Sus scrofa: one gene and its partners. The protein of the gene in region 2 interacts with the protein of the main gene of each other region in a pairwise test. Links are inferred from orthologs where the notes say so. Each region holds a gene or a part of one and is shown on either strand. Other genes may lie near its edges. The genes, in order: SMYD1, HOMEZ and RNF8.

The links.
Region 1: the proteins of HOMEZ (region 2) and SMYD1 interact in binary tests that used the Homo sapiens proteins (3 or more experiments, as listed by UniProt). The link is inferred for Sus scrofa from reciprocal best matches to the Homo sapiens genes HOMEZ and SMYD1.
Region 3: the proteins of HOMEZ (region 2) and RNF8 interact in binary tests that used the Homo sapiens proteins (3 or more experiments, as listed by UniProt). The two-hybrid records come from large-scale screens. The link is inferred for Sus scrofa from reciprocal best matches to the Homo sapiens genes HOMEZ and RNF8.

The regions. Positions count from the first base shown.
Region 1 is NC_010445.4:57,915,999-57,919,750, forward strand, and holds the start of SMYD1 (histone-lysine N-methyltransferase SMYD1), read right to left. Parts: upstream 2,579-3,752; 5' UTR 2,485-2,578; coding exon 2,348-2,484; intron 1-2,347. UniProt on the Homo sapiens protein: Methylates histone H3 at 'Lys-4' (H3K4me), seems able to perform both mono-, di-, and trimethylation. Acts as a transcriptional repressor. Essential for cardiomyocyte differentiation and cardiac morphogenesis.
Region 2 is NC_010449.5:75,795,311-75,798,634, forward strand, and holds the end of HOMEZ (homeobox and leucine zipper protein Homez), read left to right. Parts: coding exon 1-1,551; 3' UTR 1,552-2,717; downstream 2,718-3,324. UniProt on the Homo sapiens protein: May function as a transcriptional regulator.
Region 3 is NC_010449.5:32,938,166-32,941,817, reverse strand, and holds part of RNF8 (E3 ubiquitin-protein ligase RNF8), read right to left. Parts: intron 1,277-3,652; coding exon 1,148-1,276; intron 1-1,147. UniProt on the Homo sapiens protein: E3 ubiquitin-protein ligase that plays a key role in DNA damage signaling via 2 distinct roles: by mediating the 'Lys-63'-linked ubiquitination of histones H2A and H2AX and promoting the recruitment of DNA repair proteins at double-strand breaks (DSBs) sites, and by catalyzing 'Lys-48'-linked ubiquitination to remove target proteins from DNA damage sites.

The DNA of each region.
Region 1 (3,752 bases), on a different chromosome or scaffold from region 2:
GTAAAATAAGCAGGAGACAATCAACAAGGTTGAGTTATCTTGGTGTGAAGATACCTTTTTTTCTTCCTAAATTTGACTTTTATAATGAAGGGAAAACCCACTCAACTCCAAACCGTCGTGAAGGAGAAACTGATTGGCCATATTGGCTTTTAGGGAATTGCAGAAACCCATGGAGGTTCTTTAAAAGGCAAGGTGGCAACTCAGTGGCAGCACCAAGATTATTCAGGGTTCCTGTGTTTCTAGATTTTTTTTTCCTTTTCCTTTTTAGGGCCATGTGGCACATGGAAGTTCCCAGACCAGGGGTCAAATCGGAGCTGCAGCTGCCAGGCTACACCACAGCCACAACAACACCAGACCCGAGCCACATCTGCAACTTACACCACAGTTCACAGCAACACCGGATCCTTTACCCACTGAGTGAGGCCAGAGATAGAACCCGAATCCTCATGGCATTAGGCAGGTTCCTTACTACTGAGCCACAATGGGAACTACCCTGTGTTTCCAGCTTTTTATGTCTTAATTTTGGATGCCACTAACTCCTCATCCACCCCCAACAGACACACGCACACACACACACATACACACACACACAATTACATTAACAAAGTAAGACCCAGAGTTCCCATTGCGTCTCAGTGGTAAAAAAAAAAAAAAAAAAAAAATCTGACTAAGATTCATGAGGATGCAGGGTCAATCCCTGGCCCTGCTCAGTGGGTTAAGGATCCAGCATTGCTGTGAGCTGCACTGTAGATTCGCAGATGCTGCTCTGATCTGGCGTTGCTGTGGCTGTGGCTATAGGCTGGCAGCTGCAGCTCCGATTGGACCCCTGGTCTGGGAACTTCCATATGCCATGGGTGCAGCCCTAAAAAGATGAAAATAAATAAATAAATAAGGTAAGACCCACTCCCCCAAGAGGTATTACTGTCCTCTCAGCTGCTTTATATTCCTCAGCTGGTATCAGCTGCCTTCTCCCTGAAGGTCTTCATAGGTAGGAAGAAATGAGAATTCAAATGCTGCTCAAATTATCTCTGAAAACCTTTGCCCATTCTCAGGATGGTCACGAAGCCAAGATCAGAGGCCATCTTTATTGAGACTACATCAATGTCAGGCAGGCCACCCCAACTTTTGAGAATACTGTTATAATTTCATCACAGTATAAGGTTTTTTCTAAAAAAAAAAAAAAGAAAAATAGAGATTTAGTACTAATTTGAAAGTTTGGGTCAAGGATGGACAGGATTGTGAGGAAATGAGAATGTAAATTTAACAGACCCACTAAGGAGATCCTATTAAAATGGAAAAAAGTACACCCTATGGCAGAGTGATTCCTCTTTTAGCCATTCATCCTAGAGAATTATCACGCATGAGTACAAGTGGACATGATCGAGGATTTTAACTGCAGAAATATTTGTTTTTATGAAAAAAAATGGAGACCACCAAATGTTTCTCAATAGGGCAACAGATTTCTTAAAGACCATATATTTACAGGGAAGAATATCTACAGAAGTTAAAATTTGTGATCCATAGAGCGTATGGATCAACATGGATAGATCTACACGTGGGAGGAAAAAACAGATCTTTGACGATTTAAAAGAAGTGTCTATAAACTTACAGTTTCCACATGGATAAGTATCAAAACATGCTTAGTGAAAACAGTATGTTTCAGAATGATGTCTGAAGTATGATAACATTTCTGTTAAAAAAAGACAAATTACAGCTATATATTTGGTAAGTACAGATATAGACAGATAGATGCAATAGAACAAGAATATTCTAGAAAGAATCATTAAAATCACAAGAAGGATTACCTCTGAGGAAAGACAGAGGGGACTGGGTTTCTGGGTGGGAAAGGTAAAAGAGGATTCCCGTTCATGGGTGATACTCCTATTTTCAAAAGCAAATGGACTCCAGGAGTACTTGCATATTTACATGTTTTTAAAATCCCAGGACTCACTTACTTCTCTAATATGTTTATTTTATCTCAGAAGCTAAAAAACATGGAGCCCTCTGGAAAAGATTTCAAGGCACCACACCCACCTCTCCCTTTCTCTCCAACCTCACCACACACAGCACTCCCACTCAGCCAAGTTCACCAGTGCTCTGAGCACTTGCCCCCAAGCCTTTGATCACCTTTGCAACCCCACCCCAGGCACCAGAGCAAATCCCACTGGCAGTGACTCTTTGCAGGAAAAGTTACACAAGAAAACAGTTAGCTGTTGGAATGCCATTCCTTATCAATGGCCCCATGGATTTTATCCCTTGCTCTGATGATTTTGAGAGCAAAATATTTGAGAATGTGGCAACAGCCAAACCAACAGGAGAAAAGAGGGCAACCACCCACATTCTGTACCTGTCAAAAACCACGGCAGAGTAAGCCCGCTCAGCGAAGATGACATCAGCAGCCCAGAACTCCTTGGTGGCCTTCAGACCTCTGCCTTTGCCCTCAGAAGTAATGACCTCCACATTCTCCATTCTCTCTATTGTCATCTCAGAATCTTAGGGCAGCTCGGCAGATATTTAACACTGAGCCAAGTCCCTTGTCCTCGCTGCTATTTCAGCACCTTCAGCATCCCAAAGAGCAAGCCTATAAATGGACAAGCACCTCCCCTTCCCTACCCCCTCTCAGCCACTGGGTCCCCACCTCCCCCTCTGCCTCTATTCTTGGAGACAGGGATGGGGCAAGCCAGAGGCCAGTGATCTGGGAAGGGTCCCTCGCACCGCCCAATGTAACCGACAACATAGAAAATGATTATGGGTTGGTGTGCTTCTCATATTGGGTCTGAAAACTTTTGAAAAGTTCTTTTGCAAGGGTAGTTAAGTCCTGGATGGCAGTCATGCTCAGCTTGAGTTGGAATAGGCGGCACTTGGTCAGTCGGGTATTTTTAGCAGCCAGATGCCTGTGTCAATCCAAAGCAGACAGCTGAAGTGGTCCAAGAGAAGAGGCGAGGTGATGCTTACTGTTCTGGGACCCTTCAGCTGTCAGGCTTGGACTTTCTCAAGTGAGACGGGCCCCTTGTTCCCCCCCCCCCGCCCGCCCCCGCCCCAGGCACCAGAGCAAATCCACATGGGTGGACTGTTTGCAGAAAGCAGCAGATGCAAAAGTGGCCTCTGGGCTATGTGCATAACAGTACGTTTAGGTTCTAATGGGCATCCCTCTTCCCCAGTATAACCTGGGCCTCCCACAGCACCTCCATCCAGGGCCTGGAGGACTGAGAATTCCCTGATAACACGTATGTGCTAGATGAAAGCTATATTATGAGAGCAGGCAGGCCTTGACAATGAACACTCTCCTGTCTCTCAGGCTATCAAATCTCCCTTAAACATGTGTTTGTTGCCAGAAAAATAGTAATTGGATATTGGATGGATTATTGCAAAATCTCCCTTGAACTAAAAGCCACTTGTCTTGAAGGCCAGGCAGCTCTCACTGAGGTTGAAAAGAAAGACTCTTGCAGATCTGGAGCTGTGGCTTACCTTTCAGGTAATATTTTTAGTTTCTGGGATGCATCTATTTACAGATTTCTGTGCTCTGGATTTCTGTGAGTGCAGTAGCTTGTAAGTGCTGGCTTCTGTGTCAGCTAAATCTGCATTTAAATTTTGAGCCTACAGGGACAACTTTGATATCCTAGTTACAAAACAAGGGGGATAGTTTCACTGGTAAATGAAGTAATAGGCACCAAGGAAGTAGCATACCTTTCGGCACTTTGAATGGGACTTTTTCCATATTTTATGTATTCAGTCACTTTATCTTCCCTAAA
Region 2 (3,324 bases):
GAGGCCAGCAGTCTTAATAGCTCCCCTGCGGGGCTCATCTGTCTCCCTCCAATTTCTGAGGAGCTACAGCTTGTGTGGACCCAAGCAGCCCAGACCAGTGAGCTGGATGGCAATGAACACTTGCTACAAACCTTCAGCTACTTTCCCTATCCCAGTTTAGCAGACATTGCCCTTCTCTGCCTACGCTATGGGCTGCAGATGGAGAAAGTCAAGACTTGGTTCATGGCCCAGCGCCTCCGCTGTGGCATTAGCTGGTCATCCGAAGAAATAGAAGAGACTCGAGCCCGTGTGGTCTACCATCGGGACCAACTCCACTTCAAATCCCTTCTCTCTTTCACTCATCATGCAGGGCGGCCCCCAGAGGAGGTGCCTCCTTCTCCGATGCCACCTCCAGAACAAGTGGGTCTTGGAATAGTGCCCCTGACTCTTAGCGAGCCCACCCAGAAGAAAGGATTGAAGGTAGAGCCTGAGGAGTCCTCAGAGCCACTGAGTCACCAGAAAGCAAAAGAGCCCCTGTTGGTACCTGGCACTGGGACATTCCCCCACCAATCAAACTTTTGGCAGGATCTTCAGAGCAGTGGCTTCTCTAAAGGGCAGGCAGGCAGGGATCCCGACCAGTCCCACGGCCTAGGTACTGCTTCCTGGAACCACTCCACAGCTGTCCACCAGCCCCGAGCTCGGGATAAGCCCCCGCCCATCTCATTACTTGCCAGTAGTTGCAAGAAGGAGTCCGCATCTAATGTGACTCCTCCTTCCTCTACCTCTTCTTCCTCTTTCCAGGTACTGGCTAATGGAGCTACTGCCACCTCTAAACCCCTCCAGCCACTGGGCTGTATCCCACAGCCACCATCACCCAAGGAACAGGCACTACCCCCACATCTGGAGCCAGCCTGGCCCCAGGGGCTAAGGCATAACTCAGCACCAGGGAGGGTTGGCCCTGCAGAGTACCTTTCCCCAGATATGCAGCGCCAGCGAAAGACCAAGCGCAAAACCAAAGAGCAGCTGGCTATCCTCAAATCATTTTTCCTACAGTGCCAGTGGGCACGGCGTGAGGATTACCATAAATTAGAGCAGATCACTGGTTTACCTCGGCCTGAGATTATTCAGTGGTTTGGTGACACACGCTATGCCTTGAAGCATGGGCAACTAAAATGGTTTCGGGACAACGCAGTACCTGGGGCCCCTAGCTTCCAGGATCCAGCAATTCCCACACCACCACCTTCAACCCGCTCCTTGAATGATTGGGCTGAGACACCACCTCTGCCGAATCCCCCACCCCCACCGGATATACGACCCCTGGAGAGGTACTGGTCAACCCACCAACAGCTACGGCAGAGCGATATCCCTCAACTGAGTCAGGCATCAAGGCTGAGCACCCAGCAGGTATTGGATTGGTTTGACTCTCGATTACCTGAGCCAGCTGAAGTGGTGGTTTGTCTAGATGAAGAGGAGGAAGAGGAGGAGGAAGAACTGCCAGAAGACTGTGAGGATGAAGAGGAGGAGGAAGAAGACGATGATGATGATGACGATGATGTGATCATCCAGGACTGAGTGGGGGGCGAGGGGAGGTCTGTTACTAAAAGATGAACCAACTTAGTAACTGTTTAAACAAAGAAACCACATTTTTTTATAATTACCTTGTGGCAAAGAACTGAAAAGCTTTGTGTTCTTGAGGGTCGGGACTGGGGGATGTAGTGAGGGAAACCAGGAAGGATGACCAAGGCACAAAGTGAGGTGGGGATTGGATGGGCAGGAATCCAGGCCTGCAGCCTCAATGAAGAGAGTGCCAAGGGTCTGGTCCAAATGATGGGGCCGGAAAAGGCTCTTGCTCTCCTCTCAGATCTGCCATACTTTTCCCTACTGTACTACAGAGAGGCCAGGCTTTGGCCCATGTCTATGGGGGAAGGCAAAGGAGGAGTAAAGAATTTTGATTCACTGATGATTCCAGTACATCCCCCAGTCCCACCATTTTCCCTGGAACATAAAGCTGCCTTGCACCCCTTCTTTTCTCTCCAAGCACAGGTCCTTGCATAATGCAGCTAAGAATCTCATGTCCCCATCAGTCACAAATATTTCCTCTCCCTCATATCAGCTTGACTTTATATGTTTTCCTGCTGCTTTTATCGAGTCACACAGGGAGCAGAATGTTTTCATTTCTGATGCTGGGACCACTATGCCTTGTACCTTTTTATCTTTCCAGAATCCCCATTCTGTTTATTATTTGTCTCAGGGTAAATCTTCCCCCCAGAGCTTGTGAAAAAGTTTAATAATTGGGTGGAGAATAATTTAGACTGGATATTTATTGGAGGTGGGATTTAGGCGAGATGTCCTTTTAAAAATGAATTAGATTACAGAGGGATAAGAGGAGAGGGAATGGTTTCTACTGTTTGGAAGGACGGTGAAGGTAGGTACCAGGTTTGGTTTTACAAACCTGACACTCCCTCCTGCCTAGCTTGACAGAGACTGATTTTTTATCTTTTTCATGTTAGTTTAATTTGTGTCCAGAGAAGAGACTTTTCCCTCTCTTGATAGGATCTGTCTTGGGGACAGAGGGACCATGGTCTTTAACTGAATTAATTGATGTTTTAGAATGGTTTTCATCAGATGGGGTCACCTATAACAATATCAGTGGGTTAACCATCTGGAAATAAAAGGTTGGAAGCCCCCAATTACTAGAATAATAATAAAAAGGCCAAAAATAAAATTGTTTCTCTCTCCTCCACTTTGCTACTTTAATCGTTTAGAGATTAATGGAGCCAAATCCATTAACTTTCTGATTTAGTATACTTTTTATTTATTTATCTTTTAAGCATCAGGATATATTGAGTTAAAGTAAAAGAACAAAAATTTTAAAAGACAGTAGATCAGTATCTATTACTAGGCAGACTGTTTCCTGCACTTGCTACAGCAGAGCCTCTTGCTCAGAAGAGGGGGAGTCTAGAAATGCCTTTAAAAATCCAATTCAGGAGCTCCCATCGTGGCTCAGTGGTTAACGAATCCGACTAGGAACCATGAGGTTGCAGGTTCGATCCCTGGCGTTGCTCAATAGGTTAAGGATCCGGTGTTGCCATGAGCTGTGGTGTAGGTTGCAGATGCAGCTTGCATCCCGTGTTGCTGTGGCTCTGGCATAGGCCGGCAGCTACAGCTTCAATTGGACCCCTAGCCTAGGAACCTCCATATGCTGAGGAAGTGGCCCAAGAAATGACAAAAAGACAAAAAAGAAAAAAAAAATCCAGTTTCAGAAAGGGTAGTGGGGTCCTATTCAGCTATAACGTCATTACCAAGACCTCATTTATTTCTGGCAGATGCTCTCTTTAACACTTT
Region 3 (3,652 bases), about 43 Mb from region 2:
TCACCTGTATCCCTCACCTCACCATTTCCTTTTATAATTAACTGGTAAATGTAAATAAATGTGTTCCTGGCTGCGAATAACTAACTAATTAACTGAATCCAAAAAGGGAGGTGGCCATGGGAACCTCTGATTTACAGCCAGTCAGTCAGAAGTACAGGTAACAATCTGGACCTGCAAATGGCTCCTGGAGATCTAGGATGGGGTCCTTGGAACCTCCAACCTATAATAGGTTCACGTGTCAGAAGCACAGATGTTAACCTGGGCTTGTGAATGGCACCTGAGAGGAGAGTGGTTTTGTGGGATGGAGCCCTCTACCTGTGGAATCTGATGCTATCTCCGGGTAGACAGAAGAGGATTGAGTTGAATTGCAAGACATCCAGCTGGTGTATGCACTGCTTGTGGTATGTGGAGGGGAGATCTCCCCCCTCCCAACATCCATTGGAACTGATCTCAGAACCATCTTCATACACTTCCTTCTAATAGGTATCTTTATATGCCTTCCAACCAGAGTAGTGCAAAATGGTGTCTGAAGACATTTCACACTTCCTAATCCTTAATTGTTTATATTGGAATTTCTCTCATTTCACAGTGTCTATTTTCACTGCATTCCCAGGTGATTGTATATCTGTACTTTAGGGTCTTCCTAATTGCTCAGCTCTATACACTATTTCACCTGCCTTAGTATTCACACTAAACCTGTGGTTTTCAAATTTGTTTTAAGCGGAGAAAAAAAAAAAAGAAAAGAAAAAAAAAGAAAAGGAGCAGTAAGAGGACCCGAGTGAAATCAGCTCAGTTCCTCCCTCCTCCACAGGAGCACTCCAAAATCTCTGTCAGATTCCCAAGGTCTTTGGACCTTCAACTCACAAGAGACCAAGTCCCCTGGTAACTTAGTCTACTTTTTGGAACAGGACCTACTGCCCCAATTCAGGTGTTCCCTTCAAAGTAACTAACTTCAAGTCATTAGAACTTCTTTTGGCATAATCTAATCTCTGGCAGCACAGAGAAGCAGTCATTTCTGGGAAAGACAAGTCAGTAGCTAGGGGAGAAGATATATTTTTGAGTCTTTTAGTTCTCTACCACTGCAAAAAATAAAGGAACTTAAAAATAAACAAAAATTCAATAAACATTATTAGTCTTCTGCAGTTACCTTGTTGTCCGTAATTGTCCACTGGCCCTCGGCATTCTGCTTCAAGACACAGTGGTTTCGGGAAATCATCAGAGGGCAAATTTTTGAAACCAACTGGTATGTGACACCAAATCCTCGACCTACAGTCACCTAAGAAGACAACAACAACGTAGACACAATCAGCCATTGTGCTGAAGAGGGAGGTCATTACAATCTTGTCAACCAGCAGTGTCCACAAGTCTTGACTTAGGAAACCAGAGCAGAAAGGCAAGCAGCTCACTGGCTATCTCCTTCAGCTGCCATAGAAGCCAGTGGATAGAAAAAGGCAAAAAATGGACTTCCCGTGTGGCTCAGTGTTGCTTCTACAGTGGCTGTGGCTCGATCCCGGCTTAGGAACTTCCATATGCTGCAGGTGCGGCCACTTGTTTAAAAAAAGAAAGAAAGAAAAAGGCAAAAAGCTGTGACAAGAGACAGCTGAACGGAGTTAATCATGGGGTGTCAGGGTTGGTAGGACTCTGAAAGGTCACCTGCATCAACCACTCATGGGATGGAGGAATTCTCTCTACACACCCCATTAACTAGTTTTCTACACGGCCAAGAACTATAGCTATGATACAAGACAGTCCCGCCAACTTTTTAATGGCTCTGACTTGGAATCTTTCTCCCTATAATTTCCATCCACTGGCCCAAGCTCTGCCCTGGCCACAACCAGAAAATCTCCAGTTCCCCTTCACATGAGAGCTATAGTGCATCTGTGGAATCTTCCCTTTTCTTGGCCCTATGTTCCTATTACTTCGACATAACTCCATGTCATAGGTTTGAGTCTTCTTGCCATTTTAATAGGTCTGTGAAGAGATTTTTGGTGTTATTCCTAGATGTCATATCAAGAAAAACAAACTTGATTTTTTATTATATAGTCGAATACAAGTATCACTTTCCCAGTTCTAGATGTTATCAGTGGAGAATATAAATAACATTAGCTTTCACAGTAGATCTATCACACTGCCAGCATACCCTTAGGCTTAGGAATGATTAAATTTCTTGGACTAACCCTCCAAAGAATTCCTATGCTAAGTCATGTCTTTTCTGTCCTAGACTAACTGGCAAATGTGGATTCAAGTGCAGGACCTTACATTGATTCCTATTAAATGTCATCTTGTTAGTTTAGCCTATCATTAGCTTGTCAAGACCTTTCTGAATTTTTAATCTGCTATCAGACACACTCAATATCCATTCTGGCTTTAAGTCACCCACCAAATTGATATGATGCCTTCTGTACCTTCATTCAGGACACAGATTAAGAAGATTAAAACAGGTTGTAGCCAAAGGCAAAGCTCTTAGGAAAGCCTAGCAAATATTCTACCCTAAAAATACACACAAAAAAATTCAACAATTAAGGGAGTTCCCATGGTGGCTCAGTGATACTGAACCCAACTAGCATCCATGAGGATGCAAGTTCGACCCTTGGCCTTGCTCAGTGGGTTAAAGGATTCGGCATGGCCATGGTGTAGGTTGCAGATGCAGCTTGGATCCCACTTTGCTGTGGCTGAGGTGTAGGCCAGCAGCTACAGCTCAGATTTGACACCCTAGCCTGGGAACTTCCATATGCCACAGGTGCAACCCTAAAAATACACACACAAAAAAACCAACATTCTAACACACAATCTGGGTATACTTTCAACCAGTTATAATCCAATCAAAAGATGGAAAAGTCTGTATTTTCCATCTTACCCACAAGAACATCATGAGAGCCTTTGGAAAAGGTTGCAAAGACGACCCAATTCACATGCATCATACTTTGCTGACCGACCAATCTAGTTCATGACAACCCTGTCAAGGAAGGAAATGAAATTCTTCCGGGATCCAGCTTGCAGAATGCCCTGCTTATTCTTCTTGCTGCACAAGCCCCTCTTCAATGACCCATATCCAGACCTTACCTGGGAACACTAAGCCAAATGTCTGTAGTTTTCTAAAAGCTGCCCTTTTTGTTCCTCTTGAAAATCTTTCAGAATCATGCCTGTCCTCCTTAGTCTCTTAAAGACCACCATGAACGACTCGCTGCTCCAATCTATTCCTCCCCATAAACTCTCATCCCAGCAACTGACACCACCATCCAACCTACTGCTTAGCCCAAAACCCAGGAGCCATCTTTGATTTGCTCTCTGTCCCTCATGCCCACATTCAAATCATCAGCAAAATCTACTGGCTGTAGTTCAAATATGTCCTAAATCTATTCACTTCTCTCTCTCCTTCCCTCTCCCTCTCTCTCTCAGTGGCTCCTAGCTTAATCCAAACAACACTTCTTCCTCCAGTAGCACTATTTCTACTCCTGTGCTAGCCTCCATTCTTCACACAGTAGCTGGGGTGTAATGTAAAAACTAAACCTGATCATTTCCCTTCTTAAAATTTTCTAATAATCCAAACTTCCTTCCACAGCCTCTGAGGCCCTTCATGCCCTAACCCTTCTACCTCTTTAGTCTTATCGCACATCAGCAGCAGAAACAGTCACTGCTGCCTGAGGGCATT